Linked DNA regions of Anolis sagrei. The protein of the gene in region 4 interacts with the protein of the main gene of each other region in a pairwise test. Links are inferred from orthologs where the notes say so. Each region holds a gene or a part of one and is shown on either strand. Other genes may lie near its edges.

Region 1 (7,149 bases), on a different chromosome or scaffold from region 4:
TTATTTATACTCTGCTTTATCTCTCCTAAAGGAGTCTCAAAGCTGCTCAATGTAGAGCATTAGCATACAATTTAAAATATACCAATGTGCAAAAATTAAAACAGGATTAAATATAAACAATATTAAAAATTCCCAGTTAAAAACCATTAAAACATATTAAAAGTTAAAAACCATAAGGTTCCTTTATTTAGAAAGATTGTACCCTACCAACCTACATCCATAGCATGCTCAAGTAAGTATATGATGGAGAGCAACATCTTTGTTAAACTTCATTAATGATGAGAGAAACCTCCCACAAGGATGGTAAAACATCAAAACACCAGGGCGTCCCCTGGACAATGTCCTTGCAGACAGCCAATTCTCTCACACCAGAAGTTTCTCAAGTTGCTCCTAACATGTAAAAAAAAGGAAAAATAATAATTTCCATGCTCTGTGGGGCTGATGGAAGCACTCAGCTAAAATAATCTGATGTCCTATGTCTCTAAGAAACAAAGACCAGATGCAGAAATTGTTCCTTGTGTGTGACATGAAAGCTAAAGAGCAGCAAATGTTTACCAGGTTACACATATCAATCCATCAGAAAGTAATTTTGTTGGGTAATTTCAAAAATGAAAAAGCATATGCAATGGTAAAGCAACAGCAGTAGTTTTTAGCAGATCAGAAGCTTCTTGTGCATAGCTGTAGGGAAAATGAGTTTCATAAATACAGGAAGAGAGTCAAGTTATAAAAGAACTACATTTCAAAGAACTACATTTCTATATAGTAAAGTTAGGGCCTAGCTATCTAACTTACCTATCTCTGCATGCATCTTGTCTCTCTTCATGCTGACAGAAGAAAAAAATTGGAGGACTTGGAGGGGGGGGGGGGGCTTGCATGTGGCTAGAAACTTTGAATAAAAAGAGGTGTGTCCCTGAGAAGCATCAGTCTAACAAACTAATAGGAGAAAACGAGAGAGAGGGGAAGACAAAGCAATGGGGGAAGAGCTTTCCCTGCCTGCTAACTCATCTACCTATCTTATTAACTTGATGAGGACTATAAACCTGTGCAGGACTTGGCTGAGTTCCAACAAATTTATGCAATGAGGTGAAGTAGGTAAGTAACAGAGCACACTTACCCAGTATCTGACTCAAGGCACACTACAGGGATATCTGTGGGATCATTTGTTAATTTGGCTGCCTGCTGGGCTAGAACCGATATCACACCTGCATGTTCATCTGAGAGAGTGCCACGACCTAGAAGGTAATGATCGATAGTTGAAAAGGAAAATAAATTAGTTTTAAAAATACAGGACAGTTCACTTGGACTGAAAGAGAGTTTCCAAAATACTTACAGCCCAGATTCAGTCCCTGGGAATCAGTGCACAGGACTCCTGCAATGGAGGGATTCTTCATTCTAGGAAAGGAGGAGACAGAAGGGATCAGAAACATCCAGCAGGTGGGACAGAACAACGAAAAAGCAACAATAATAAGCATATAATAAGAATTGGTCCCTAGAGGAGAGTGATAGTGTGGTATAGTGCCTGATTGTTGGGCTACATCTACACCAGGCACGGGCAAACTTGGTCTCTCTAGGTGTTTTGGACTTTTGGACTTCAACTCGCACCGTTCCTCCCATTCCTTGCTGCTGGAGTGCATCCACTGTTTTGACACCGCATCCACTGCCATGCTTTAATGTTGTCTACAAGCCCTGCCAAACTTCAACTCCCAAGATCCCATAGCAGGAAACGTAGTGTCAAGCTGCATCCAGTCCAGAGTGTTGATGCACCTCGCGAAATTGTTCCTTGCAGTGTGTGGGGCTCCCTATTGGCAGGTTGTGTAATTTTCCACGGCGGTGGTGTGTGCAAACTGGTGGGGGGGGGGGGGGCAGAGCGTGGAGTGGCTCCCACATGGCAAGCTGATGTAACCCCCTCCCTGTCTGCATGCATCCTGTGCAGAGAGTCTGGGCTTCTTGATACAGAGAGCAGCCAGTCGGCTGTACCCTGATTTTGAGCTGTAATAGCTATGAAGTCTGTCCCTCCTCCATCCACTTCTATGGAGAAGAGGTTAGCATGCTCATCTCCGCATGAATCATACAAGAGGATACAGCAGGACATGAGGGTGGGCTCCTTTAGCATAGGCATGGACAAACATGGGTCCTCCAGGTGTTTTGGACTTAGAATCATAGAATTGGAAGAGACCTCATGAGCCATCCAGCCTACCCCCTGCCAAGAAGCAGGAATATTTCATTCAAAGCACCTCCGACAGATGGCCATCCAGACTCTGTTTCAAAGCCTCCAACGAAGAAGCCCCCACCACACTCTGTGGCAGAGAGTTCCACTGCTGAATATTTCTCACAGTCAGGAAGTTCTTCCTCATGTTCAGATGGACCAACTTTCTTGTAGTTTGAATCCATTGTTCCATGTCCTAGTCTCCAGGGCAGCAGAAAACAAGCTTGCTCTCTCCTTCCTATGACTTCCTCTCACATAGTTATATATGCCTATCGTATCTCCTCTCAGCCTTCTCTTCTGCAGGCTAAACATGCCCAGCTCTTTAGGCCGCTCCTCATGGGGCTTCAACTCCCATTATTCCTAACAGCCTCAGGCCCTTTCCTTTTCCCCCTCAGCCGCTTCAGAACGGGGCCTGAGGCTGTGAGGAATGGTGGGAGTTGAAGTCCAAAACACCTGGAGGGCCCAAGTTTGCCCACGCCTGATCTACACTAGAATTAATGCAGTTTGACACCACTTTAGCTGCCATGGCCTCTTAGCCTTCTCTGCAAAGAGGGCTGGTGCCTCACCAAAGTTAGTTAGAATGACCCCAAACTGCGTTAGTTCTATAGTGAAGATGCACTCTAAGCTTCCTGGGAGCAGGGCTCGAATGGCATGCCCGTCCCCAGTCCATAGTGCTGATGGGCACTGCGAACTCCAGGCTTACGTGTCTTCCAAATGGTGCTCAAGTGCGCCTTCCATCTCGCCGACCGACTGAGCCTCTTCCGCAAAACACCAGCTCTTCCTTGTCAGCTGACTTGTGTCCACGTGACCAGCCAGCGAGTGGACGGCGGCTCGTTGGGTTCGGAATTCTTCGAGAGTCGGACGCGCCTGCGCAGTAAACATTTCCGCCCAGCGGGAGGTGGGGAGTGTTTTTGTAGACTTCATTTTGCGGATTGAAGGCATTTTTCTTCCTCTTCTTGTTAAGCTGGATCAGCTTTGGTCTTTTCTTGTCACGATCTCCCTCTCATTGTATTTACTATATGTGTAAGGAAAGTGGTCCACAAACATAGGCTGCTTCTGCACTGTGGAATTAATGCAGTTCGACACCCCATGCATGCCCAGTGCTATGAAACTATGGGAATTGTAGTTTTGCAAGGTCTTTCTCTGCCAAAGAGAGCTGCTGTTTGACCAAACTACTGCTACCAGGATTCCATAGCCATGGTAGTTAAATGTGGTGTCAAACTGCATTAATTCAACAGTGTAGAGGCCCCCTTAAGTAACAACTCTTTGTCAAGTGCATAACGTGTTGGAAAGGAAATGGCTGCTGTGAGTTCAATAGGCACACACTTTGTTTCGTTCCCCAAATTATTTTAAAATACAGTGTATGAAATTAATTTCAAGCTATTATTTATTTATTTATGATATTTCTCTTCCACCTTTCTCAAGCCTGAAGGCGACTCAAGGCGGCTTACAAATTGACAGCAATTCGATGCCATCACAATCCACAATATACAATTAAAACATTGAAAACATCATTATAAAATCAATACAATAACCTTTAAAAACATATAATAACCAATGTCTTCCTGTTAATCTCACTCTCCAGTAGCATCGTCTAAGTCTTTCCATGTTTCCGTGTTTGTCTATTGCACTGCACTTCCGTGCTTGTCTATTGCACTGCACTTCCAGGCTTATTCAAAGAGCTAGGTTTTAATATCCCTAGAGAGGGAGATCCACAGCCGAGGGGCCACCACTGAGAAGGCCCTGTCCCTCATCCCCGCCAAAGGCAAAGAAGGCAGGATTGAGAGCAGGCCCTCCCCATACAATCTTAAGTTCCTAGATGGTTCATAGGGAGAGATACATTCAGACAGGTAAGCTGGGCTGGAACAATTTAGGGCTTTATAGGGTAAAGCCAGCACTTTGAATTGTGCCCGGTAGCAAATTGGTAGCCAGTGGAGTTGGCGTAACAGGAGTTGTGTGCTACCTGAGCACTGCTACAGTTAGCAACCTGGCTGCCGCCCGCTGGACAATTTGAAGTTTCTGAACAGTCTTCAAAGGCAACCCCACGTAGAGCGCTATGCATATAAGGCATATATGAAACATAAATGGAATTTGCATTTAGTCTTCAGTTCCATTATGTTTAAAGGTATTCCACAATCATTATCATCCTCCAAAGCACTTCTGGTACCAAGCATGTAGAACGCAGAATCGGCTGAGTATGCCTGCCCAGTTTTGCACAAGTCTGTATACGCGACGCAGGTGAATACAGCACTGAATAAAACATGCAGAATAATCACAGGATATCTTAAACCTACACCTGTTGATAAACTCTAAAAGCTAGCTGACATTGCCCCCCCCTCCACCCCCTGATGTGCGATGGAAAGTTGCTCCTAACTGTGAGGTTGAACACTGAAAGCCATCCTCTGCATGGCTATCAACCTCCTTCCAGTAGACTCAAATCAGTGAGAGGATTCATGAGAACCACCACTCTTCTTAACATTTCCCCAGCAACAGCAAGAGTATCCCTCTGGGTTTCAAAATCAGGCAATTCCAACTGGATGCCCCCCCCCCCCCGAGGGTCTTCCTCCAGGAGCAAATCAAGAATGGGCAACTTGGAAGTCTCTGAAGAGTCTTAGAAATGGGGCAGGCAGATATAAAGACAACCTGGCAAAATGGCACCACGTATAACAGTGTTTCTCAACCTGAGGGTCGGGATCCCTTGAGGGGTCGCGAGGGGTGTCAGTAGGGTCGCCAAATACCATAAGAAAACACAGTATTTTCATTGGACATGGGGGTTCTGTGTAGGAAGTTTGGCCCAATTCTATCGTCGGTGGGGTTCAGAATGCTCTTTGTAGGTGAACTATAAATCACAGCAACTACAACTCCCAAATGTCAAAGTCTATTTTCCCCAAACTCCACCAGTGTTCACCTTTGGGCATATTGAGTATCTGTGTCAAATTTGGTCCAGATTCATCATTTATTTGAATCCACAGTGCTCTCTGGATATAGGTGAACTACAACTCCAAAACTCAAGGTCAATGCCCACCAAACCCAGCATTTTCTGCTGGTCATGGGACTTGTGTGTGCCAAATTTGGTTCAATTCCATCATTGATGGAGTTCAGAATGCTCTTTGATTGTGGGTGAACTACAAATCCCAGTGACTACAACTCCCAAATGACAAAATCAATCCCTTCCAACCTCCCCTCACCCATACTAAAATTTGGGTGTATTGGGTATTTGTGCTAAATTTGGTCTAATGAATGGAAATATATTCTGCATATCAGATATTTACAGTATAATTCATAATAATAGCAAAATTACAGTTGTGAAGTGGCAACAAAATTAATTTTATGATTGGGGGTCACCAAAACATGAGGAACTGTACTAAGGGGTCGTGGCATTAGGAAAGTTGAGAACCACTGGCCTAGAAGAATCCACCTTGTGTGACTGGAACAGAACAAACGACTCTGCATCTGTATGCTTGTCCACAATGCCCTGTCACATGCACAGAGGAAGAATTGTTTAAAGCTACAGGCAATGTGGTCGCTGTTGCCTGTTTTTGGTCAAAAATTATTTAACCACTTGTGTACCCTCTGTTTTTATCAGTTTTATACTTAGTTATGCAATTCTTTTGACATGAAATAAATAAAGAATGCGGAATACTCAACTCGTCTTCCAAAAAGTGCAGTTCCAGCTTGAATTAGGAATTGCTTTGATAACACTTTGTACCTGGGTTATAAATGTCATTTCTTAATTGGTTCTATCATAAAAAATGGAAAAGGTTTATTAAACTGCAAAAACTTTGTTTTGGCAGGTCATCCTGCAGCACATTTGCTGTAGTTTTTCAATGATTGAAGAGCTGTTCAGCAGTGGAACTCTCTGCCCCAGAGTGTGGTGGAGGCTCCTTCTTTGGAGGCTTTTAAACAGAGGCTGGATGGCTATCTGTCAGGTGTGCTTTGAATGCTATTTTCCTGCTTCTTGGCAGGGGGTTGGACTGGATGGCCCATGAGGTCTCTTCCAGTTCAAGGATTCTATGGTTCTGTATCAAGTCTCAACCAATTCAACATAGTTTCCGGAGTATAACAACTACTTTCAATGTAAATACTGCACAATTAAACAGGAAATAGCACTTTCAAGCCAGGAACAGAAAATTTCTCAAATTTTGTTACATAGTGTAATTTGAGAACAGTGGTCCCATCTACACTGCCATACAATACAGTTTGAAACTTTATCATAAGTTAATGTAGATGGGGTTTCAGTCATTAGAACATGTTATATCATTCAGGATCCCTTTGCCTCATTTATGAGCAGGTACAAAAGGAACAGCATATTCATATAATTTTTGAAATTCATAGTTCCATCCCCAAATGAGTAAGGAGCTTTATATCTTAAATTGTCTGATTGTTTCAGATTTTATGATATAATTATCACTATGATATAATAATCTTTGTATGTTTTTAAAAACACATATTTTCTACTTGTGTCAGGAATGTGGGCATCTAATCAGTTGTGTGCATTTACTCTCATTTTCTTATTTTGTACATACTGCCCCCCCCCCCCACCTTCTTTGAAAAATATTTGACAAACTTCCAAAACTAGATTCCAACACGTACTTTGGTACAGACCCATCTTTCTGGCTCTTAGAGCCATATGTGATGATTGGAATGGAGTGCTGGATGCTGCACCTTTAAATCAAATGCCACGTCCATTTCGGCACATCAGCACTCTTTCCCCAATGAGGCCGTCAGGAGAAAAGGAATGATGTCTCTCTTGGTACTTCCAATGACTCATAGAGATGCGAGATGCACACGGCCCCATCTGTCATAGCAATGCAGAGCCAAAGCGAGAACTGCTCCTAATTACTTGGAGAAAATAAAGATTTGTCGTTTTGTAGATCTAGAGCTATGAACAAGGGAGAAATTTCCATCATCATTTCAGGCGGACAGGGATCACAAATGCTAGA
Region 2 (6,951 bases), on a different chromosome or scaffold from region 4:
CAAGAAACAGTGGACTCTTCAATGAACTGTATGTGTGAGTAATGCTTCCTTAATACACAAAAGGCAAAATCTCGTCTGATAATTGAGCTAAGCAGGATCAGGTCTGGTTAGTACTTGGATGGGAGACTACCAATAAAAACCAAGGCCCCTTCCACACAGCTGTATGAAATCCACATTGAACTGGATTATTTGGCAGTGTGGACTCAGATAATCCAGTTCAAAGTAGATATTGTGTATTATCTGCCTTGATATTCTGGGTGATACGGCTGTGTGGAAGGGCCCTTCCTTGATTGTTAGAGACTCATACATAAAGGGCTCTGCTTGGATGTTATCTGCTTCTAGATAGCTCTGCCTTGACAATAGACAGACTTTGAGATTAAAGGGCCTAACCCAATGCCTAGTAAGTGGGAAGGTTCTGATGATTTCACTAGAATTTTGTTCTAAGGGGTAGTCCTAGTGATATAATTTTGAGAATGGACATTGACCAGAATTGCTCGGGGTAGGCCATTTGAATCTTTTAAATATGGCAAATAGATATTATATACTAGTGTATATACCCAATGATGCTTGTGTGTGTACTTTCTAATGAGTATTAGGAATACTCATTGTTAACGTTATCATTTTATGAATGTTTCAGGATGGATATACACTGCCCTGCATTCCAGGATCTGGTTCCGGATTATCTGCTTTGAACGGAATTATATGAAGCCCATTCAACCTAGCTGAATAAAATTCTACATTATTTGCTTTGAACTGGAATATATGGCAGTTTGGACTCAAATAACCCAGTTTAAAACAAATATTGTGGAATTTTCTGCCTTGATATTCTCGGTTATATGGCTGTGTGGAAGGGCCCCCGAGTCTACACTGCCAGATAATCTGGGACATTTTCCACACAGCTGTATGAAATCCACACTGAACTGGATTATATAGCATTGTGGACTCCGATAATCCAGTTCAAAGTAGGTAATGTGAATTATCTGCTTTGATAAACTGTATTAGATGGCAGTGAAGAAGGGGCCTGGGAGAACCGGTTCTGAGGCAACTTCCATTTGGCTGTATAAAATTATATGGCAGTGTGGATTCAGATAATCCAGTTCAAAGCAGATATTGCGGATTATCTGCCTTGATTTTCTGGGGCCCCTTCTACACAGATAAATAAAATCACACATTTTCTGCTTTGAACTGGATTATATGGCAATGTAGACTCAGATAATCCAGTTCAAAGTAGGTAATGTTAATGATCTCCTTTGATAATATGGATTATGTGGCAGTGAAAAAAGGGTCTTCTCAACCTGGAGTCCCCAGATGTTTTTGGCCTTCAATTCCCAGAAATCCTAACAGCTGGTAAACTGGCTGGGATTTCTGGGAGTTGTAGGCCAAAAACATCTGGGGACCCCAGGTTGAGAACCACTGGTAAGAGAACCACTTAAGGCCTCTTCTACACAGCTGTATAAAATCCACATTGAACTGGATTATATGGCTGTGTGGACTCAGATAATCCAGTTCAAGGCAGATATTGTGGAGGTCAACCCTCCTGTTTAAGGAGCTCCATTGGCTGCCGTTTACCTACCGAGCCCAATTCAAAGTGCAGGTGCTTACCTACAAAGCCCTGAACGGTTTGGGACCTGCCTACCTGCGTGACCGCATCTCCGCTTACGAACCCACGCGTTCTCTTTGCTCATCCGGAGAGGCCCTGCTCGCGATCCCACCTGCGTCGCAGGTGCGTTTGGTGGGGACGAGGGACAGGGCCTTCTCTGTGGTTGCCACCCGACTTTGGAACACCCTCCCCAAAAACATTAGACTAGCACCCACGTTCACAGTCTTAGGAAGAACTTGAAGACTTGGTTATTCCGATGTGCCTTTCCAGAATAGGATAATCCCCAACACTCTGTACCAGAAGCACTTTATTAGAGTTTAATATTATCTGAACATTGCACTTGCCCAGAACTCCAACATACCACCTCACACATCCAGGACTTTTAACCTGTACCCATCATTGGCCTGGCCCTGATTTTATTGTGTAATAGTGTAATGTTTTGTTGTGTTATTGCTTATGTTTTAATTTGCTTGCATCGTTATTGTTTGTTGTTGTTATGTTGAGGCTTTGGCCTTTGTAAGCCGCATCGAGTCCTTCGGGAGATGCTAGCGGGGTACAAATAAAGTTTAATTATTATTATTATTATTATTATTATCTGTGGGCAATTCCACACAGCCATATAATCCAGAATATCAAGGCAGAAAATCCCACAAGAGCTGCTTTGAACTAGGGGCCCTTCCACACAGCCCTATATCCCAGAATATCTGGGCAGAAAATCCCACAATATCTGCTTTGAACTAGGTTATCTGAGTCCACACTTAGATAATGTGGGATTTTCTGCCTTGATATTCTGGGATATAGGGCTGTGTGGAAGGGCCCTTGGTTATCTGAGTCCACACTGCCATATATTCCAAAGCAGAAAATGTGGAATTTTATTCAGCTGTGTGGAAGGGGTTTTAAAAGCACAGGCACCCACGAGTAGACATAGTCTGATGTTGATAAAAGCCTAAGCCGCCGTTTATGCCGGGTTTTCTAGGCAGAACTGAAGCAGAGGGGGTTGGCTTTGAGGCTGAGAGAGTGTCACCTGCCTCCCACTGCCCTCGCCCAACACTCAAACCGCTTTCCTGTGGCCTAGAGAGGCGGCCCCATCCTGAGGCGATGCTCTGATAGTTTCCTAGTACAAACACTCCAGGAAAAGGCGTTTTGTCTTTATGGCAAAGGCTCCAACAGGGCCTCTGGTGCTGCCATGAGCCCCTGAGAAACTCCGCTCCCGAAAAGACTCGCCTCAGACGACAACGGCCTCACACAGCTCTGGGCCTGAGCTTCGTTTATCTCTCTCCATCCCCACCCGCACCCCCTCCCGCCCCATACCTTTTTCAGCTCAAGGTCCACGGGCGCCGCCATTTTGCCTGCTTTGAACACGACTGCGCCTGCGCGCTGAGCAAGCCGTTCAACTGACGGCGTCCCCTTCGCGTACACATGCCCCGCGCTGCGCATGCGCAATAGGGGGATCCAGGCTAGAACTGTGTACTGTGGATAAGGTTGGACAGGGATACTTGGGTACTAGGTGATTCAGCAGCTCAAGGTCAGCCTGGGCTGGGGGATGCTGTATAGCCCAAACATACTTCAGTCTTAGTTAAAATCCAAGAAATTGCAAGTAGCCAAGTCTGGCCCACACTGGTCTCAGTTCTTGAAGTGTAATCAGAGATGACCCTCATCCCCCAGGACCCTGTAAAAGAGTTCATAATCAGGGAATTCATAGTTTTGCCAAGGACACCAGGCTGGAATGATCCAATAATCACTTATCTCTCCCCCATGGTGGAACCTAAGGCTCTTTCCATGGCCCCACATGGCAACGCCCCTGTAACCCAAACCAGCATCTGATCAATTTGGCTATTATTTATGAATTGGATTCCCTTTTTGTGAATAAAACTCCTGTTTTATGAATGGCTCAGTGAGCTTTGTGTCATCTTACATGAACTCTGGGTGACCAAGATGAATCTTCCCTTGATCCTGCATGCCTTTCCCTTCCCATATAAAATGCAGTATATTCCCCATATCCCCATCCATTATACGTATGTATGTCTGTATATCAGAAAACCAAAGTGCTCTTCCAGCAGTCACCAGCCTATTTATTTATTTATTTATTTATTTGCAACATTTCTATGCCACCCTTCTCACCCTGAAGGGGACTTAGAGCGGCTTACAAGGAACGCCCTTCCTACAGACATTAGGCTGGCGCCATCTCTCATGGCATTCCGAAGAAAGTTGAAGACCTGGATGTTTGTGCAGGCGTTTGAGTAATTTAGTGCAATCTGGTAATGAAACATAGGAATGGAACAATGGACGACGAACCTGGACTACGCTTGGATGATGAGAAGATTGGGTACGGTTGTTTTTTGTAATAATTGTGCATTGTAATTGCTTTTGGTAATTTATGGATAATGTGTTAAGTCAATTGTTATATGTTGTATGGAACCACTGCTGTTTCTACTGTTTTTTTACTGTTTGTGAACCGCTGTGAGTCGCCTTCGGGCTTGAGATACAGCGGTATATAAGCAAAGTAAATAAATAAATAAATAAATACAATATATTATATTATTAGCATAGTACAATATCAGTATTAAATATTACTATATTGTACTATACCATTATATTGTAATATTACATGTAATATAAATATATAATTATATTATTATTAGTATTATATTGCATCAAATTATAATATTATAAATATTTCATGTATATATTTATATTCTCTCTCCAATCCCTCTCCAATGCCAGAAATACAGCTTAATGTTGTAACATTAGAAAATGTTGATCATTTCTGCTACCTTGGCAGCCACCTCTCCACCAAAGTCAACATTGACACTGAAATACAACACCACCTGAGCTTTGCAAGTGCAGTTTTATTCCGAATGAAGCAGAGAGTGTTTGAGGACCGAGACATCCGTAGGGATACCAAGATGCTTCTTTATAAAGCTATTGTCCTCCCAATCCTGCTATATGCCTGAGAGATGTGGACTGTCTACAGACGTCACATGCAACTCCTGGAACGATTCCATCAGCGCTGCCTCCGGAAAATCCTGCAAATCTCTTGGGAAGACAAGCAGACAAAGGGCAGCATGTTGGAAGAAGCAAAGACCACCAGCACTGAAGTGATGGTCCTCCGCCATCAACTCTGCTGGACCGGCCACGTTGTCCGGATGCCCAACCACCGTCTCCCAAAGCAGTTGCTCTACTCCGAACTCAAGAACAGAAAATGGAATGTTGGTGGGCAGGAAAAGACATTTAAAGATGGGCTCAAAGCCAACCTTAAAAATTCTGGCGTAGACACTGAGAACTGGGAAGCCCTGGCCCTTGAGCGCTCTAGCTGGAGATCAGCTGTGACCAGTAGTCTGTCAAGCTAACCCTGACTGAGACCGCCTTCCACCTGGAAACCAATGCCCTCACTGCGGGAGAAGATGCAGATCAAGAATAGGGCTCCACAGTCACCTATGGACCCACCAGTACACCCATCTTGGAAGACTATCCTACTTGGGCAACAAGGGATCGCCTAAGTAAGTAAGTATGTCTATATAAAATATGAAGCAAGGTAACCCTTTCATGAGCTTTGCCACCAACCCAGGGCTCAGGAGTTTTCAAACTTCCTGAGCCAATAATCCCATTAACAAAGGTCTTGACAGAAACTCATTTGCATGGACAATAAGTAAATGGGCCCTTTTCCTGGACTTCGGAGGGCCTTGTTGGCTAGACCATCCAGGACAATGGGACTTATGGACATACAGAATCACCCAACCATACATTTCCCAACTGCAAGGAACCAGGGATTGTCACCGCCTCCCCACTGTGCCATTTCTCCATCTCCAAAAAGGAATTTCAATTCCCATCATCAAGCCAATTTTACAGAGCAATATGACGATGGAACTGGCTCTTTGGAGCTAGACAGAAGACGTTATTTCAAGACTCAAGACAATAGCCTGGGCTGAAGTTTGAGGGCTTAAGCTATCACTTTGGCCCCTTTATCAATACAGGCGCAGAAAGTGCCATTCATAACCCATCATCATGGCATTCTTTTCATTGTTTCCCATTTGCCCATCTCCTTCCACCTCATTGGCTGAGCGGCCAAAGCAGTGGTCGGGCTCTCATTGGATCTCCTGCTGGCTTGCTGACGTCACAGCCAATCACAATGAAGCCAGTTCAGGGGGGTGGGGGTGGGCATGGGAATTTTTGAATCTGACAGCCCTATAAATATTGTTTTTTCTGCCCATCCAGCATGTCAGCTCCTTGGGCAGATAACTGCAGTCATGATCACTTCCAGCTGGAATGAAATAAAACTTTGGTGGCTTTTGCTTCAACTTGGTGAGATTTTATTTTGGAAAATTGAAGGAAAAATCTTTCTTGGTGCTTGCTGTCTTATCAGGTGTTCCGGATCCTCTTTTTGGGTCTGGCCGGTCTCTGTCTAGGTAGGGCCTTCCAAATTCATGTTTGACATCAGAAGGATGTTGTTCCAGACTCCTCTGTTATCTTCACCTATGGCAGTCTACCCCCAGTGCCCCATAATACATTTTTCTTTTGAGGTATTGTGCAAGGGTAACATGCATCCTTGGAGCAAGATCATTCTACAAACACGTACGAGTGTTCCTTCGTTCCTCTGTGGTTGGTCTCCCCAGAGCATCAATGCACACAGAGGGCAGATAGATTTCTTGAGGAGTGGAGATGTTGCACAGACGCAGATGTAGCAATAGCAAAGTAAAGATTTGCCACTTTTGCACAAAACCTCAAGTGGGGGGAAAAATCACAGTGAGCCATTGTGGGAGAAACAGGAGGAGAACATGTGTAGACTCATGAGCGAGACATCTGGAGACAAATTAGAAAAAGAATGTGGAATTGGACACCGTGATACCTCTGTAGCAGTGGTTTCCAACGCTTGGTCCTCCGGATGTTTGGGACTTCAACTCCCAGAATCCCCTGACAGCTTGTCCAACTGTTACAAATTCTGGCTGCCAAAGTGCAAAACTTCTGGAGGAGCAAATGTTGGGAACCACTGCTCTATAGCAACTTACAAAATTAGCACTAATGTTCTAGCAATACAAACACAGTGTGATTTCTAGTTAAGAGCATCCCAATTTGAGAGTATTTTTCTCAGACCGGGTTTCACTTTGATATAAGAGCAGTGTTTTGAATTAAGAGCTAGCATCAGAGGGAGCACTAGCGCAGGAGTATAGGGCTTTGGGGCTTAAAGAGGCAACCTCTGTGTCTCCGTGCCTCATGGTCTGTCCACTTTAGGAGACTGCTGCCTGCTTTGCTCTTGTCCGCTTTAAGAGAGAGTAGATAGATGTTTTGGGGCAACTGAAGAGAACATTTCTGAAACTCTGCTATATGTTTGTTGTGCATTGGCATCTCTTTGT
Region 3 (7,507 bases), on a different chromosome or scaffold from region 4:
CCTCAAAACATCTCAAAGGCTTGCCAAGGCTTATAAGTACAGAAGACAACAGATACTTTAAACAAGACTCAGAGCACCTGGTCTGAAGAGCTTCAGCAAACCTGCCATATTTACAAGCATAAGACAATTTTATTGACTGGTCTCACTCATGATTCACAATCAATTGTTCTGCCTTATTCTGTGGATATACATAAATATAGCTATAAAAGCAATCATGATGCTTAGAGAACACAAGAGTGGTTAAGCAACTGGTGTGCTATGACAGCTGTTTCTCTTGTTCTGTACTGTCGTGTTGTCCCCTTACGTTTCTATCAACCGTTTGTCTCACCCATCTGTTCCTTTTTATTTTAGGCTTGATTTCAAAATTTTCTGGACAAGGACTGGGTGGGGTAGGGTAGTTCCAAGCCTACATTATCACCTTCAAAAGCAGACATCTTCCATTTCGTTAGCATATGCAAAGTAATTAAGGCTGCATTTAGCCACCATATGCAGTGACTTCTTCCATTATAGGATGTTCACATTTTAGAAGTACACATATGAAATTAGACATAAAAGCCATCTAACCCTCCCCAACAATGCAACATTGCAGCACCCACTGAAAACAAGGAAAATGCCAGTTCATAAAACATGGTTGGTTGTATCCAGATTTAGAATGAAGTCATTTCCATCAATAAGACTCATTAGTCGTTACTACCATTAAAGACACTTTAATTTCAAGAATTTTATTATAATTATGATTAAGTCTAAATACAAGTAAATAACATTCCCACATTTCTAACATAAGCCAACCATTATGAGAAGATAATACGGTGGACCCTTGGTACTCACTAGGCTTTGGTTGTAGGACCCACAGTTCCACTACATACAACAATGTAGTAAAATGGGATCCCTTGTATAAAATAAAATTACTTTGGTTTTTGAATTTTTTTATATATATATATATATATATATAAGCTGTGGATGTTAATAATAATATATTCATTGCCCGCCTCTTTGTCATTAAAACATATAATACATACAATAAAATAATACATTAGAACACATTTCTATAAAATACATATAATAAAATACATAATACAAATATTAAAGTACAGTAATGGTAGAATGTAAATTGACTGGGTAGGCATGCCAGAAGAGATGGGTCTTCAGTTCTGCCTTGAATGCTGTCAGAGCTTTTCTGGCAGGTCATTCCAAAGACTCGGAGCAGCCAATGAAAAGGTCCTCTGGGTGACTGTTTCCTGTCAGGTTCTGGATGGTTGGCGTAACCATCTCCCAGAAGACCTCAGTGTATGAGGCAGATTATACAGGAGAAGGCAATCCTGTAGAAACCTGGACCCAAACAACTGAGGGCCTTAAAGGTTATACTGAATCTGTCTATAAGGAGGGTGAACTGCATAGGGTAAGTAATTGCGAAAATCCAGTTTTCAAATGCTGAATGAAATATTTTCATTCAGTGGATACAAAATTAGTCCACAAAGAGAGTCGGACTATATGTAAATGTTTGTGATAATCCATTTTTTTAAAAAAGCCATGGCTCAATGCTATGGAAGCATGAGACCTGTGGCACTACAAATTCCTTAACCTTGTATCCCCAAATGACAACTCCCAGGATCCTTAGCACTGATCTACAGCAGCTAAAGTGGTATCCAACTTCATTCAATCTACAGTGTAGAGCAGGCGTGGGCAAAGTTCAGCCCTCCGGGTGTTTTGGACTTCAACTCCCACAATTCCTAAGATGTTTGTTTTATATCTTGTTATATATCTTGCTGTTTTAAATTGATGTTATGCATTCTAAATTGATACGTTTTAACTCTGTTGATTAGGCCTGGCCCCATGTAAGCCGCCCTTAGTCCCTTCGGGGAGATGGAAGTGGGGTATAAAAATAAAGTTATCATTTAGAGGCAGTAGCTATGCTCAGTGACACAAACATGGCCCGAGGTACAGACCAGGCATGGGCAAACTTGGGCCCTTCAGGTGTTTTGGACTCCAACTCCCACCATTCCTAACAGCCTCAGGCCCTTTCCTTTTCCCCTTCGGCTGAGAGGGAAAGGAAGGGGCCTGAGACTTTTAGGAATGGTGGGAATTGGAGTCCAAAACACCTGAAGGGCCCAAGTTTGCACATGCCTGGTCTGCACAGTTCCCTCAGACTTGGGGTGCAGTGTAGAATCAATGCACCACTTTAACTGCCCTGGCTCAATGCTGTGGGATGATGGGATTTGTAATTCGGTGAAGTGTCGGCTCTTTTTTTATTCCTGGCAGAAATGGCTACTCTGATTTGGTAAAACTGAGCCACTCAGGCTTCCACAGCATGGAGCCATGGCAGTTCAAGTGATGTCAACCTGACTCCATTCTTCAGTGCAGATGCATCCCAGGCCTGGCTTTCCCGCGGAGGCATCATCCATTCTTGGGGTCTCCTTGAGCATCTAGAAGGCAGGCAAAGCCAAGCAAGGCGAGGAGCCAAAGGCCCCCGCCGCATCGAGCTCCTCCGCCACAGACATCCCCCTCCCTCCCTCCTTCCCTCCTTGCCGGGCTTCCGGGGCACAGCATCCATCCCTCGAAGAACAAAAGGTCGAGCCACGCCGGGCATCTACCTGCCTACCTACCGACCCGCGGCCTCAGCTGCCCCTCGGAGCCGACGTGCTGCGGCAAGGACGGGCAGGTGCGGAGAGGGAGGCCTGTGGCGTTGGCCTGCCATCCTCATCCATCCCTCCCACCACACAACGGTACAGCAACCGGCAGCACTCACATTCCTTCCCCGCTTTCACCCCAAACAGTCCCCTCACACCGTTCTCCCCCCCTCCCCTTCCACTGGGGCACGTCGCCCTCAGCACAAGGACAAGCGGGGAAAGGAAGGCCCACCGACCTGCCTGAAGGCGCCCCTCAGATGAACACCGCCACTCACCGCCGGCTTCGTGGAAGGAAAAGGGAGAGAAAGGCTCCCTCACAGCACAGCGGCTAAGTGGCGGCTGTGTAGTGGCTCGCGCGAGGCCACGCCCCTCCTTCTCGCGCGCCCGGCACCGCCCCCAGCCTCGCGCGAGGCCACGCCCCTCTCCCGCCTCTCTTTCCCAGCCACGCGCGAGGCCACGCCCCCAGTCTCCACAGCCTCGCGCGAGGCCACGCCCCTCTCCCGCCTTACGCCTCGAGCGAGGCCCCGCCCCCACCCTCTCAGCCTTGCCATTACCTTTGGTTAGTGCCTCTGTCAAGGCCCTTCCTCACACAGCCATGTAGCCCAGAATATCAAGGCAGAAAATCCCACATTATCTGCTTTGAACTGGGTTATCTGAGTCCACACTGCCATATGTTCCAGTTCAGAGCAAATAACGTGGGATTTTGTATTGTCGAAGGCTTTCATGGCTGGAATCACTCAGTTCTTGTGGGTTTTTTCGGGCTATATGGCCATGTTCTAGAGGCATTTCTCCTGACGTTTCGCCTGCATCTATGGCAAGCATCCTCAGAGGTGTGGGATTTTGTTCAGCTGTCTGGAAGGGGCCTCAGGAGTCGGCTTTCCTTCCGAATTTGAGGCCGCTTCCACACAGCTAAATAAAACCCACACTTATCTGCTTTGATAAGGAGCCCCCGGTGGCGCAATGGGTTAAACCCTTCTGCCTTCAGGACTGAAGACAGGTTAGAGATTCGAGAGCGCAGATGAGCTCCTTCTATCAGCTCCAGCTCCCTATGCAGGGACCTGAGAGAAGCCTCCCACAAGGATGTGGTGTGGACCTAGATGAAGTCCCTTATTAGTTAGTATAAGTCAGGTGCTTTGTATGTGTGTTTTGTTGTTGTTTATTTGCTCAGTCACTTCCAACTCTTTGTGACCTCATGGACCAGCCCACGCCAGAGCTCCCTGTCGGTCATCACCACCCCCAGCTCCTTCAAGGTCAAGCCAGTCACTTGAAAGATACCATTAATCCATCTTGCCCTTGGTCGGTCCGTCTTCCTTTGCCCTTCCATTTCCCCCAGCATCATTGTCTTCTCTAAGCTGTCCTGTCTTCTCATTATGTGGCCAAAATACTTCATCTTGGCCTCTAATATCATTCCCTCCAATGAGCAGTCAGGCTTTATTTCCTAGCAAAACATCAAAAATCCGGGCGTCCCCTGGGTAACGTCTTTGCAGACGGCCAATTCTCTCACACCAGAAGCGACTTACAGTTTCTGACTAAAAAAAAAAAAAAAAGCCTCGCGCCAGGCCACGCCCCTGTCCCGCCTCATAGGCCTCCCCTTTCCAGCCTCGCGCCAGGTCCCGCCCCTCTTCAGCGTCATACGCCTCGCGCAAGGCTACGCCTTTCTTCCGCCTCACAGGCCTCGACCCCCACCCGCTTCGCGCCAGGCCACGCCCCTAAGCCGGCCTTTGCTTTCTGCTTCTGCATCGCCGCGAGTGTGCCTGACCAGGCCACGCCACGCCACACCCCCTCCCCTTCCCTTTGGAATGCCTCTTTGGGGTTTAAAGCCTCCCCAGGCCCCGCCTCTCCCCATGCGGAGGAGGAAGGAGAGAGCAGCCCCTAGACCAGCAACCGCTACATGGAAAAGGAGTCCTGCTGCATACGGAATAGAGCGACCATTCCTTCTGTGTATGTATGGTAGTAGTAGACGATATGCGAGGGGTCACAGCTATGGAAGGCCTCCCTCCTCCTCCTCTTCGGGTGCGTCTTCACTGCAGAATGGATGCTGCTTGACACCACTTTAACTGATAGGACTCAGTATTATGGAATCCTAGGGGTCGTGGTTTGGAGAGGAACTAACACTCTGGCAGAGAAGGCTAAAGGCCTTGTAAAAATTCCAACTCCCAGGATTCCATAGCATTGAGCTGTGGCAGTTAAAGTTGTATCAAGTCTTGGTTCCAGGTCAAGAGGATTTCTTTATTTAGGGCTTTCATATCCCGTCCTTTCTCAACCTCCGCAGAGGGACTCAGGACGGCTAACAAAGCGGCGCCCACATCAAAACATAAATATACAATTAACAGCAATGTAATAATAACAACAATATAAAACTGTATAAACAATATAAAAACAGACAACAAATAGTCAGTGGTCACTGATTTAAATCATTATCCAAGGGCAGTCCATCAGTTCTAAATAAGTCAACACATCAGTAGGTCAGCCTATTCTCCAAAGGCCTGATCAAATAGCCAGGATTTTACTTGTTTCCGGAAGGTCAAGAGGGATGCAGCAGATGTAATTTTGCTCAGGAGGGAGTTCCATAGCCGGGGGGCCACCACAGAAAAGGCCCTGTCCCTTGTCCCCGCCAAACACAATTGTGACAATGGGGAGACAATGAGCAGGGTCTCCCCAGATGATCTTAGGGCCCTAGGTGGATCGTAGCGGGAAATACGTTCAGACAAGTAAACTGGACCAGAACTGTTAAGGGCTTTATAGGCCAAAGCCAGCATTTTGAATTGTGCTCGGAAGCTGATAGGCAGCTAGTGGAGCTGACATAACAAGGGCGTTGTGCGCTCCCTGTACCCAGCCCCAGTGAGCAGCCAGGCTGCCGAACGTTGGACTAGTTGAAGCTTTTGGGCAGTATTCAGAGGCAATCCCACATAGAGTGTGTTGCAGTAGTCTATTTGGGATGTAACAACAGCATGGACCACCGTGGCCTATGTCATCAGTTGGGAGCCCCTCCCCCCATCACCAACTGCTCCTCTGGGCCAGAGTGAAGAGAGAGGGGGGGCTAGGAAGACAGTTCCACCTTGTCTCCTGTGCTGTGCTAATAATATAATACATTGTATATACATATAATATTTGTAATATTATAATATAATACCAGAGCCTCCAGTGGTGCAGTGGATTAAATCCCTGTGCCGGTAAGACTGAAGACTGATAGGTCACAGGTTCGAATATGGGGAGAGCACAGATGAGCTCCCTCTCTCAGCTCCAGCTCTCCATGCAGGGACATGAGAGAAGCCTCTCACAAGGATGGTAACACATCAAAACATCTGGGCATCCCCTGGGCAACATCCTTGCAGACGGCCAATTCTCTCAAACCAGAAGCGACTTTGAGTTTCTCAAGTCGTTCTGACACAACAAAATAATAATAATAATGTAATACAATATAATGCACATGGGGTGAAGACCCAAAATTGGTAAGAATATCAGCCCTAGCCTTGTCTTACTCAACTGCCGAGTATGCCTGTCCTGTTTGGCATAGATCTGCTCATGCAAAGCAAGTGAACATAGCATTGAATGAAACTAGCAGAATAATCACAGGATGTCTTAAACCTACACCTGTTGATAAACTCTACAAGCTAGCTGGCATTCCCCCCCCCCCCCCCCCCAATGTGCAATGGGAAGTTGCTGCTAAATGTGAGAGAAATAAGGTTGAACACTGTAAAACCATCCACTACATGGCTACCGGCCTCCTCCCAGTAGACTCAAATAAAGGAAAAGCTTTATGAGAACTACCATTCCTCTTGGCATCCCTCCAGCAACAGCAAGGGTATCCCTCTGGGCAGCTAAACCAGGAAATCCCAACTGGATGGCCCCCCACAAGAGAGGGTCTTCCTCCAGGGGCAAACCAAGAATGGGCAACTTGGAAGTCCCTGAACAGACTCAGAAGTGGAGTGGGCAGATCAAAAGACAACCTGGCAAAATGGCACTACCTAAAAGAATCCCACACCTTGTGTGACTGTGGAGCAGAACAGACAACTCCGCATCTGTATGCTTGTCCACTATGCCCTGCCTCATGTATAGAGGAAGAATTGTTGGAGGCTACAGATAATGCCATTGCTGTTGCCCGTTTTTGGTCAAAAGATATTTATCCACCTGCGCTCCTATTTTTATCGGTTTTATGCTAATTTATGCAATGCTTTTGATATGAAATAAAAATGCTAATAATAATACAATATAATCATATTTTATATTACATGTAATATTACTAATAATACTGTATTACAATATTATCGTATAGTACAATATAGTAATACATAATGCTGATATTGTGCTATGCCAATAATCTATATATATAAATTTGTTAGGGGCATCCAACGAGGAAACAAAACTCAAAAACCCCCCAACGAAACTTAACCAAAATTCCCATGCCCATAACACAACCCACAAGGTACAAACATATCTACTCAAAATGAAAAACAACACAACAACACACTCACAAAACGGCAAAACAACAAAACTCAAAAATCCCCCAACAAAACTTAACCAAAATCCCCGTGCCCATAACACAACCCACAAGGTACAAACATATCTACTCAAAATGAAAAACAACACAACAACACACTCACAAAACGGCAAAACAACAAAACTCAAAAATCCCCCAACAAAACTTAACTAAAATCCCCGTGCCCATAACACAACCCACAAGGTACAAACATATCTACTCAAAATGAAAAACAACACAACAACACACTTACAAAACTGCAAAACAACTGAGCATGCGCATTGGCGCCCAGCCGCAAGTTCCCTGGCGCGCGCACATGGCCTTCCGGCCAACGTTCCCTCTGCGGAAACCATGCCCACTCCAAGCCCCGCTGCGCCGCTTCCCACACACACACACACCC
Region 4 (7,003 bases):
CATTATGTCATTCCCATATAGTAATAGTAATAATACATTAATATGGACGTATAATAATGTATATTATTATTATTATACCTTAACATTATGAAGTTCCCATATAATAATAGTAATAATACATTAGTACGGATGCATAATAATGTATATTATTGTTATATGAAGTTCCCATATAATAATAGCAATAATACATTAGTATGGACGTATAATGAAGTATATTATTATTATTATTATACCTTAACATTATGGCATTCTCATATAATAATACATTACTATGGATGTATAATAATGTATATTATTATTATTATACCTTAAAATTATGGCATTCCCATATAATAATAGTACTAGTACATTAATATGGACATATAATAATGTATATTATTGTTATACCTTAACATTATGAAGCTCCCATACAATAATACATTAGTATGGATGTAGAATAATGTATATTATTGTTATATGAAGCTCCTATATTATAATAGTAATAGTACATGCGTATAGACATATAATAATGTATATTATTGTTATATGAAGTTCCCATATAATAATAGTAATAGTACATTAGTATGGATGTAGAATAATGTATATTATTGTTATACCTGAATATTATCAAGTTCCCATATAATAATAGTAATAATACTTTAGTGTGCATGTATTATATATATATATATATATATATATATATAAATACCTTAACATTATGAAATTCCCATATAATAATAGTAATAATACACTAATATGGATGTATAATAATGTATATTATACCTTAACATTATGATGTTTACATGCAATAACAGTAATAATACATTAGTATGGACGTATAATAATGTATATTATTATTATACCTTAACATTATGAAGTTCCCATATAATAATAGCAATAATACATTAGTATAGACGTATAATAATGTATATTATTATTATTATTATACCTTAACATTATGAAGTTTGCATATAACAATAGTATTAATATATTAATATGGATGTATAACAATGTATATTATTGTTATACCTGAATATTACGAAGTTCCCATATAATAATAGTAATAATACATTAGTATGGACATATAATAATGTATATTATTATTATTATTATACCTTAACATTATGTTCGCATATAACAATAGTATTAATATATTAATATGGATGTATAACAATGTATATTATTGTTATACCTGAATATTATGAAGTTCCCATATAATAATAGTAATAATACATTAGTATGGACATATAATAATGTATATTATTGTTATACCTGAATATTATCAAGTTCCCATATAATAATGGTAATAGTATATTAGTATGGGCGTATACTTTTACATGGATATGATTCTGCTTCTATAGAATAATGAAAATAATGCCTAGATATGAATTGTAATCCCATTTAAAACCAAAAAGCAGAGGCCCTCCTCCAGGACAGAGGCCCAAAAGCCAATGGTCCCTCCATGGGAGGAAGGGTGTCTCCACCCACTCATCTGGGAAGGAAAGGAGGAAGGAGAGTCCTGCATATGGATGTGTAATAAATAATAATGATGGTAATTACAGATTATTATACATTAATAATGCATAAGGGAGGGGAGAGAGGTGCAGATGGGAAGGAAGGAAGGGGTGGAAGGATAGGAATGGAGGAAGGGGAGGGAAGGAAGAGGAAGGAAAGGAAGGGAGGGAAGGAAGGAAGGAGAAGGAGGGAAGTATTGGAAGGAAGGCAGGAAAATGAATGGAGGGATGGAAGGGAAGAAGGAAGAAAAGAAATGGAAGGAAGGAAGAATGGAAGGATGGGACAGAAGGGATAGAAGAAAAGGAAGGAAGGAAATGAATGGAGGGATGGAAGGAAAGGGAAAAGAGGGAAGAAGAAAGGAAGGAGATAGGGAGGAAGGGAGGGGAAGGGAAGGAGGGAAGGGGGAGAGAGAGAGGGAAAGATGGGAGGGAAGAGAGGAAGGAAGGAAAAAGGGGATGGAGGGAAAGGACGGAAGGTAGGGAGGGAGGAAAGAGATGGGAATGAAGGAAGGGGGGAGAGAGAGAGAGATGGGAAAGAAGGGAGGGAAGGAAGGAAGGGAAAGAGTGAAGAGAGAGAGAAAGATGGGAAGGGAGGGAGGGAGGGAGGGAGGAAAAAAGGGAAGGAAACAAGGGACAGAAGATAGGGAGGGAAAAGGAGAGAGATGGGATGGAAGGAAGGGAAGGAGAAAGAGATGGGAAGGAAGGAAGGAAGGAAGGAAGGGAGAGAGAGAGAGATGGGAAGGAAGGGAGGGAAGGGAGGGAAGGAAGGAAAGGAAAGAGTGAAGAGAGAGAGAGATGGGAAGGAAAGAAGGGAGGGAGGGAGGGAGGGAGGGAGGGAGGGAAGGAAGGAAGGAAGGAAGGAAGGGAAAGGAAAGGAAAGGAAAGAGGGGAGAGAGAAATGGGAGGGAAGGAAGGAAGGAAGGAAGGAAAGGAAAGAAGGGAGAGAGGGGGGGAAGAGAGATGGGAGGGAAGGAAGGAATGGAAGGAAGGTAGGGACGGAAGGAAGGGAAGGGAGTGAGATGGGATGGAAGGAAGGGCAGGGAAGGAAGGAGGGAGGTGTGTTGTGTTGGCCCCGGGTGTCCCTTCCTGGCCCACTTCCTGCCCAAAGGAGGGGAGGGGCCCAGAGGGAGGGGTCCCCGCCCCATTCTCCCTTCCCTGCCGAGGCCTCAGTACCTGCCTGGGAAGGGAAAGAAGGAAGGAAGGGAGGGAAGGAGGAGAGAGGCTCACCTGGGGCGCTGCAGTCGGCGCAGACCTCGGCCCGGGGCACCTTCCGCGACATCCTGTGCCGCAGCCAGGAAGGGAAGAGAGGAAGGAGAAGAGGAAGAGGAGGAGGCCCACCTCCCTCCTCCCCCTGAAAAGCAAGGGAAGGGAAGAAGGGAAGGATGCAGAGAGGGGAAGCCCTGGGCCGGCCCTCGGAGAAGAAGAGGAGGAGGAGGAGCGGAGGAGGGAAGGGAAAGGAGGAGGAGGAGGAGGAAAAGGAGGAGGAGAGGGAGGAGAGCGCGACCCCGGCGTCGGGCGGAGCCAAAAGAGGGGCGGCCTCTGCTGCAGGGCAGGATCTGGCCGCCCCTTCCCCCTCCTCCCCTCCCTCCTTCCTTCTTTCCTTCCTTCCAGGCTCCATCTCTCTCTCTCTCTCTCTCTCTCACCCTTCTCTTTCCTTCCTTCCTTCCTTCCTGAGATCCCTGTCTCCTCCAACCTTGCTACTTCCTAGCTCTCCTCTGGCTACTGTTACCCATCGCCATGCCCAGATCCGGTTTGCAGGGTGCATTCTCATTCCTTTGGCACACATTGGAAGACTGGTGGGATTTGGGGGGTGGGGGTGGGATGTATAGTTCACCTGCAGTCAACGCGCATTCTGAACCCCACCGATGATAGAATTGGGCCAGACTTCTCACACAGAAGGCCCCTAACTTGAAGGGACTCGCCTCCCTCCAGCTTGGCACGCTCTCCCTCGCCCCACACAAGTACACCTGCTCCCCCCTTGGAATCTCCCCTTCCATCCATCCCTTCCTTCCCTCCCTCCCTCCTTTCTCTTCCTCCATTCCCCTTGGAGTCTCCCCTTCCATCCCTCCTTTCCTTTCTTCCCTCCCTCCCTCCTTTCCTCCCTTCCCCTTGGAGTCTCCCTTTCCATCCCTCCCTCTTTCCCTCCTTCCCTTCCTTCCTTCCGTCCTTCCTTCCCCTTGGACTCTCCCCTTCCATTCCTTCCTTCCTTCCTTCCTTCCATCAATCCCTTCCTTCCTTCCCCTTGGAGTCTCCCCTTCCATCTCTCCCTCCCTCCCTTCGTTCCATTCCTTCCTTCCTTCCGTCCTTCCTTCCTTCCTTCCATCCCTTCCTTCCTTCCCCTTGGAGTCTCCCCTTCCATCCCTCCCTCCCGTCCGTTCCATTCCTTCCGTCCTTCCTTCCTTCCATCCCTTCCTTCCTTCCTTCCCCTTGGAGTCTCCCCTTCCATCCCTCCCTCCCGTCCTTCGTTCCATTCCTTCCGTCCTTCCGTCCTTCCTTCCTTCCTTCCTTCCCCTTGGAGTCTCCCCTTCCATCCCTCCCTCCCGTCCTTCGTTCCATTCCTTCCTTCCATCCTTCCTTCCTTCCTTCCTTCCTTCCTTCCTTCCTTCCTTCCTTCCTTCCCCTTGGAGTCTCCCCTTCCATCCCTCCCTCCCGTCCTTCGTTCCATTCCTTCCGTCCTTCCTTCCTTCCTTCCATCCTTCCTTCCTTCCTTCCTTCCCCTTGGAGTCTCCCCTTCCATCCCTCCCTCCCGTCCTTCGTTCCATTCCTTCCGTCCTTCCTTCCTTCCTTCCATCCTTCCTTCCTTCCCCTTGGAGTCTCCCCTTCCATCCCTCCCTCCCTCCCTTCCTTCTTTCCATCCCTTCCTTCCTTCCCCTTGGAGTCTCCCCTTCCATGCCTTCCTTCCTTCCCCTTTGGAGACTCAGATGCAGCCCTCCCAGGCCAGACTAGATGCCCTTCAGGGTTCCCTCTCAGGACCCTTTTCTTTCCAATGGGGTGAGCTTAGGCCTAGGTGAGCCTTGTCACCCCAAGCCTTGTTGCAGGGAGACAGAGAGAGGAGTCAGGGATGCTCCAGAGATGGAGAGCCTTCCTCTTTCTTCCTTTCCTTCCCTACATCTCCACTAAAGCTTGGACAGGATCCTTTTAGAGGAAGCAGGGCAGACTAGGTGCCCTTGAGGAGTCCCTATCAGGACCCTTTCCTTTCCTCTAGCTTGGGCCTAGATGCCCCTTTTCACTCCAAGCCTTGTCGTGAGAGATGAGGGAGAGGCAGCAGAGATACTCTGGAGATGGAGAGCCTCCCTCTTTCTTTCTTTCCTTCCTTGCATCATCAAAGTCTGGATGGGAACCTTTCAAAGGAAGCATGTCAGTCTAAATGCCCTTTACGGTTCCCTCTCATGGTGTTTCCTTTCCAAGGGGGTGAGCTTAGGCCTAGGTGGCCCTTGTCACTCCAAGCGTTTTTGCAGAGAGACGAGGAGAGAGGAGTCAGAGATATTCCAGAGATGGAGAGCCTTCCTCTTGCTTTCTTTCCTTCCTTTCATCTCCACCAGAGCATGGATGTGAATAAAGCAGGCCAGACTAGATGCCCTTCAGGGTTCCCTCTCAGGATCCTTTCTTTTCCAATGGGGTGAGCTTAGGCCTAGGTGACCCTCTTCACTCCAACCCCTTTTGCAGAGAGATGGAGGAGAGAGGAGTCAGGGATGCTTTAGAGATGGAGAGCCTTCCTCTTTCTTTCCTTCCATGCATCTCCACCAAAGTCTCAATGGGAACCTTTCAGAGGCAGCATGTCAGTCTAGATGCCCTTTGTGGTTCCCTCTCAGGACCCTTTCCTTTCACCTAGCTTGGGCCTAGATGCCCCTCTTCACCCCAAGCCCTTTTTTTGCAGAGAGATTGGAGGAGAGAGAAGTCAGGGATGCTCCAGGGATGGAGACCCTTCCCCTCCTTTCAGTTAAAGCAGGCCAGATTAGATGCCCTTTAGGGTCCCCTCCCATGGTGTTTCCTTTCCCAGATAGTGGGCTTGGGGCTAAATGCCCGTCAGCCCAAGCCTTGCTGCAGAGAGATGGAGGAGAGACCAGAGATGGAGAGCCTTTCTTTCTTTCTTTCTTTCTTTCTTTCTTTCTTTCTTTCCTTACATCTCCACCAAAATCTGGGTGGGAACCTTTAAGAGGAAGCAGGCCAGACTAGATGCCCTTTGTGGTTCCCTCTCATGGTGTTTCCCTTCCAAGGGGGTGGGCTTGGGACTAAATGTCCCTCTTCACTCCAAGCCTTGTTGCAGGGAGATGGAGGAGAGAAGTAAGGGAAGGAGAGCCTTCTCCTTCCTTCCTCCCTTCCTTCTTTCCTTCTCTACCAAAGCTTGGATGTGAATGAAGCAGGCCAGACCAGATGCCCTTTGAGTTCTGGATGGGAACCTTTCAGAGGAAGCAGGAACAACTACATGTCCTTTGTGGTTCCCTCTCATGGTGTTTCCTTTCCATTGGGGGGAGCTTAGGCCTAGGTGACCCTTGTCACTCCAAGCCTTTTTTGCAGAGAGGTATAGAGAGGAGTCTTGGATGCTCCAGAGATGGAGAGCCTTCCTTCCTTCCATCTCCACCAAATCTTGGATGTGAATAAAGCAGGCCAAACTAGATGCCCTTCAGGGTTCCCTCTCATGGAGTTTTCTTTCCAAGGGGGTGGGCTTGGGACTAAATGTCCCTCTTCAGTCCAAGCCTTGCTGCAGAGAGATGGAGGAGAGGGGTGTCAGGGATGCTCCAGAGATGGAGGGCATTCCTCTCTCTTTCCTTCCATGCATCTCCACCAAAGATTGGATGTGAATGAAGCAGGCCAGGCTAGATACCCTTCAGGGTTCCCTTCTCATGGTGTTTCCTTTCCAAGGGGGTGGGCTTGGGACTAAATGTCCCTCTTCAAGCCTGCTTGCAAAGAGATGGAGGCGAGAGGACTCATGGATGCTCCGGAGATGGATAGATAGCCTTTCTTTCATCTCCACCAAAGCTTGGGTGAGAATAGCAAGCCAGACTAGATGTCCTTTGGTGTTCCTTCTCATGGTGTTTCATTTCCAAAGGGGTGGGCTTGGGACTCAATGTCCCTCTTCACTCCAAGATAGAGGAGAGAGGAGTCAAGAATGCTCCAGGGATGCTCATTCTTTCCTTCCTTATATCTCCACCAAAGCTTGGATGGGATCCAAAGGGCAGACTAGATGCCCTTCAGGGTTCCCTGTCACGGTGTTTCCTTTCCAAGGGGGTGGGCTTAAGACTAAATGACCCCCTTCACTCCAAGCCTTGTTGAAGAGAGATGGAGGAGTCAAGGATGCTTTAGAGATGGATAGATTGCCTTCCTCTGTCTTTCTTTCTTTCCTCCCTTCCTTCCTTCCATCTCCACCAGTTTGGATATGAATAAGCATTCCAGACTAGATGCCCTTTGGAGTTCCCTCTCACGGTGTTTCCTTTCCAAGGGAGTGGGCTTGGGACTAAATGTCCCTCTTCAGTCCAAGCCTTGTTGCAGAGAGATGGAGGAGAGACCAG

Evidence for each region.
Region 1: the proteins of GIT1 (region 4) and LAMTOR5 interact in a two-hybrid assay, tested with the Homo sapiens proteins (2 studies listed by BioGRID and IntAct). The link is inferred for Anolis sagrei from reciprocal best matches to the Homo sapiens genes GIT1 and LAMTOR5.
Region 2: the proteins of GIT1 (region 4) and PFDN1 interact in binary tests that used the Homo sapiens proteins (3 or more experiments, as listed by UniProt). The link is inferred for Anolis sagrei from reciprocal best matches to the Homo sapiens genes GIT1 and PFDN1.
Region 3: the proteins of GIT1 (region 4) and PPFIA4 interact in a two-hybrid assay, tested with the Homo sapiens proteins (2 studies listed by BioGRID). The link is inferred for Anolis sagrei from reciprocal best matches to the Homo sapiens genes GIT1 and PPFIA4.

The regions. Positions count from the first base shown.
Region 1 is NC_090024.1:183,624,893-183,632,041, reverse strand, and holds the start of LAMTOR5 (ragulator complex protein LAMTOR5), read right to left. Parts: upstream 3,026-7,149; 5' UTR 2,945-3,025; coding exon 2,910-2,944; intron 1,393-2,909; coding exon 1,331-1,392; intron 1,233-1,330; coding exon 1,115-1,232; intron 1-1,114. UniProt on the Homo sapiens protein: As part of the Ragulator complex it is involved in amino acid sensing and activation of mTORC1, a signaling complex promoting cell growth in response to growth factors, energy levels, and amino acids.
Region 2 is NC_090024.1:136,883,165-136,890,115, reverse strand, and holds the start of PFDN1 (prefoldin subunit 1), read right to left. Parts: upstream 3,020-6,951; 5' UTR 2,945-3,019; coding exon 2,912-2,944; intron 1-2,911. UniProt on the Homo sapiens protein: Binds specifically to cytosolic chaperonin (c-CPN) and transfers target proteins to it. Binds to nascent polypeptide chain and promotes folding in an environment in which there are many competing pathways for nonnative proteins.
Region 3 is NC_090024.1:206,155,963-206,163,469, forward strand, and holds the start of PPFIA4 (liprin-alpha-4), read right to left. Parts: upstream 3,010-7,507; 5' UTR 2,903-3,009; exon of another isoform or gene 2,864-2,902; intron 1-2,863. UniProt on the Homo sapiens protein: May regulate the disassembly of focal adhesions. May localize receptor-like tyrosine phosphatases type 2A at specific sites on the plasma membrane, possibly regulating their interaction with the extracellular environment and their association with substrates.
Region 4 is NC_090031.1:33,986,909-33,993,911, reverse strand, and holds the start of GIT1 (ARF GTPase-activating protein GIT1), read right to left. Parts: upstream 3,020-7,003; 5' UTR 2,773-3,019; coding exon 2,721-2,772; intron 1-2,720. UniProt on the Homo sapiens protein: GTPase-activating protein for ADP ribosylation factor family members, including ARF1.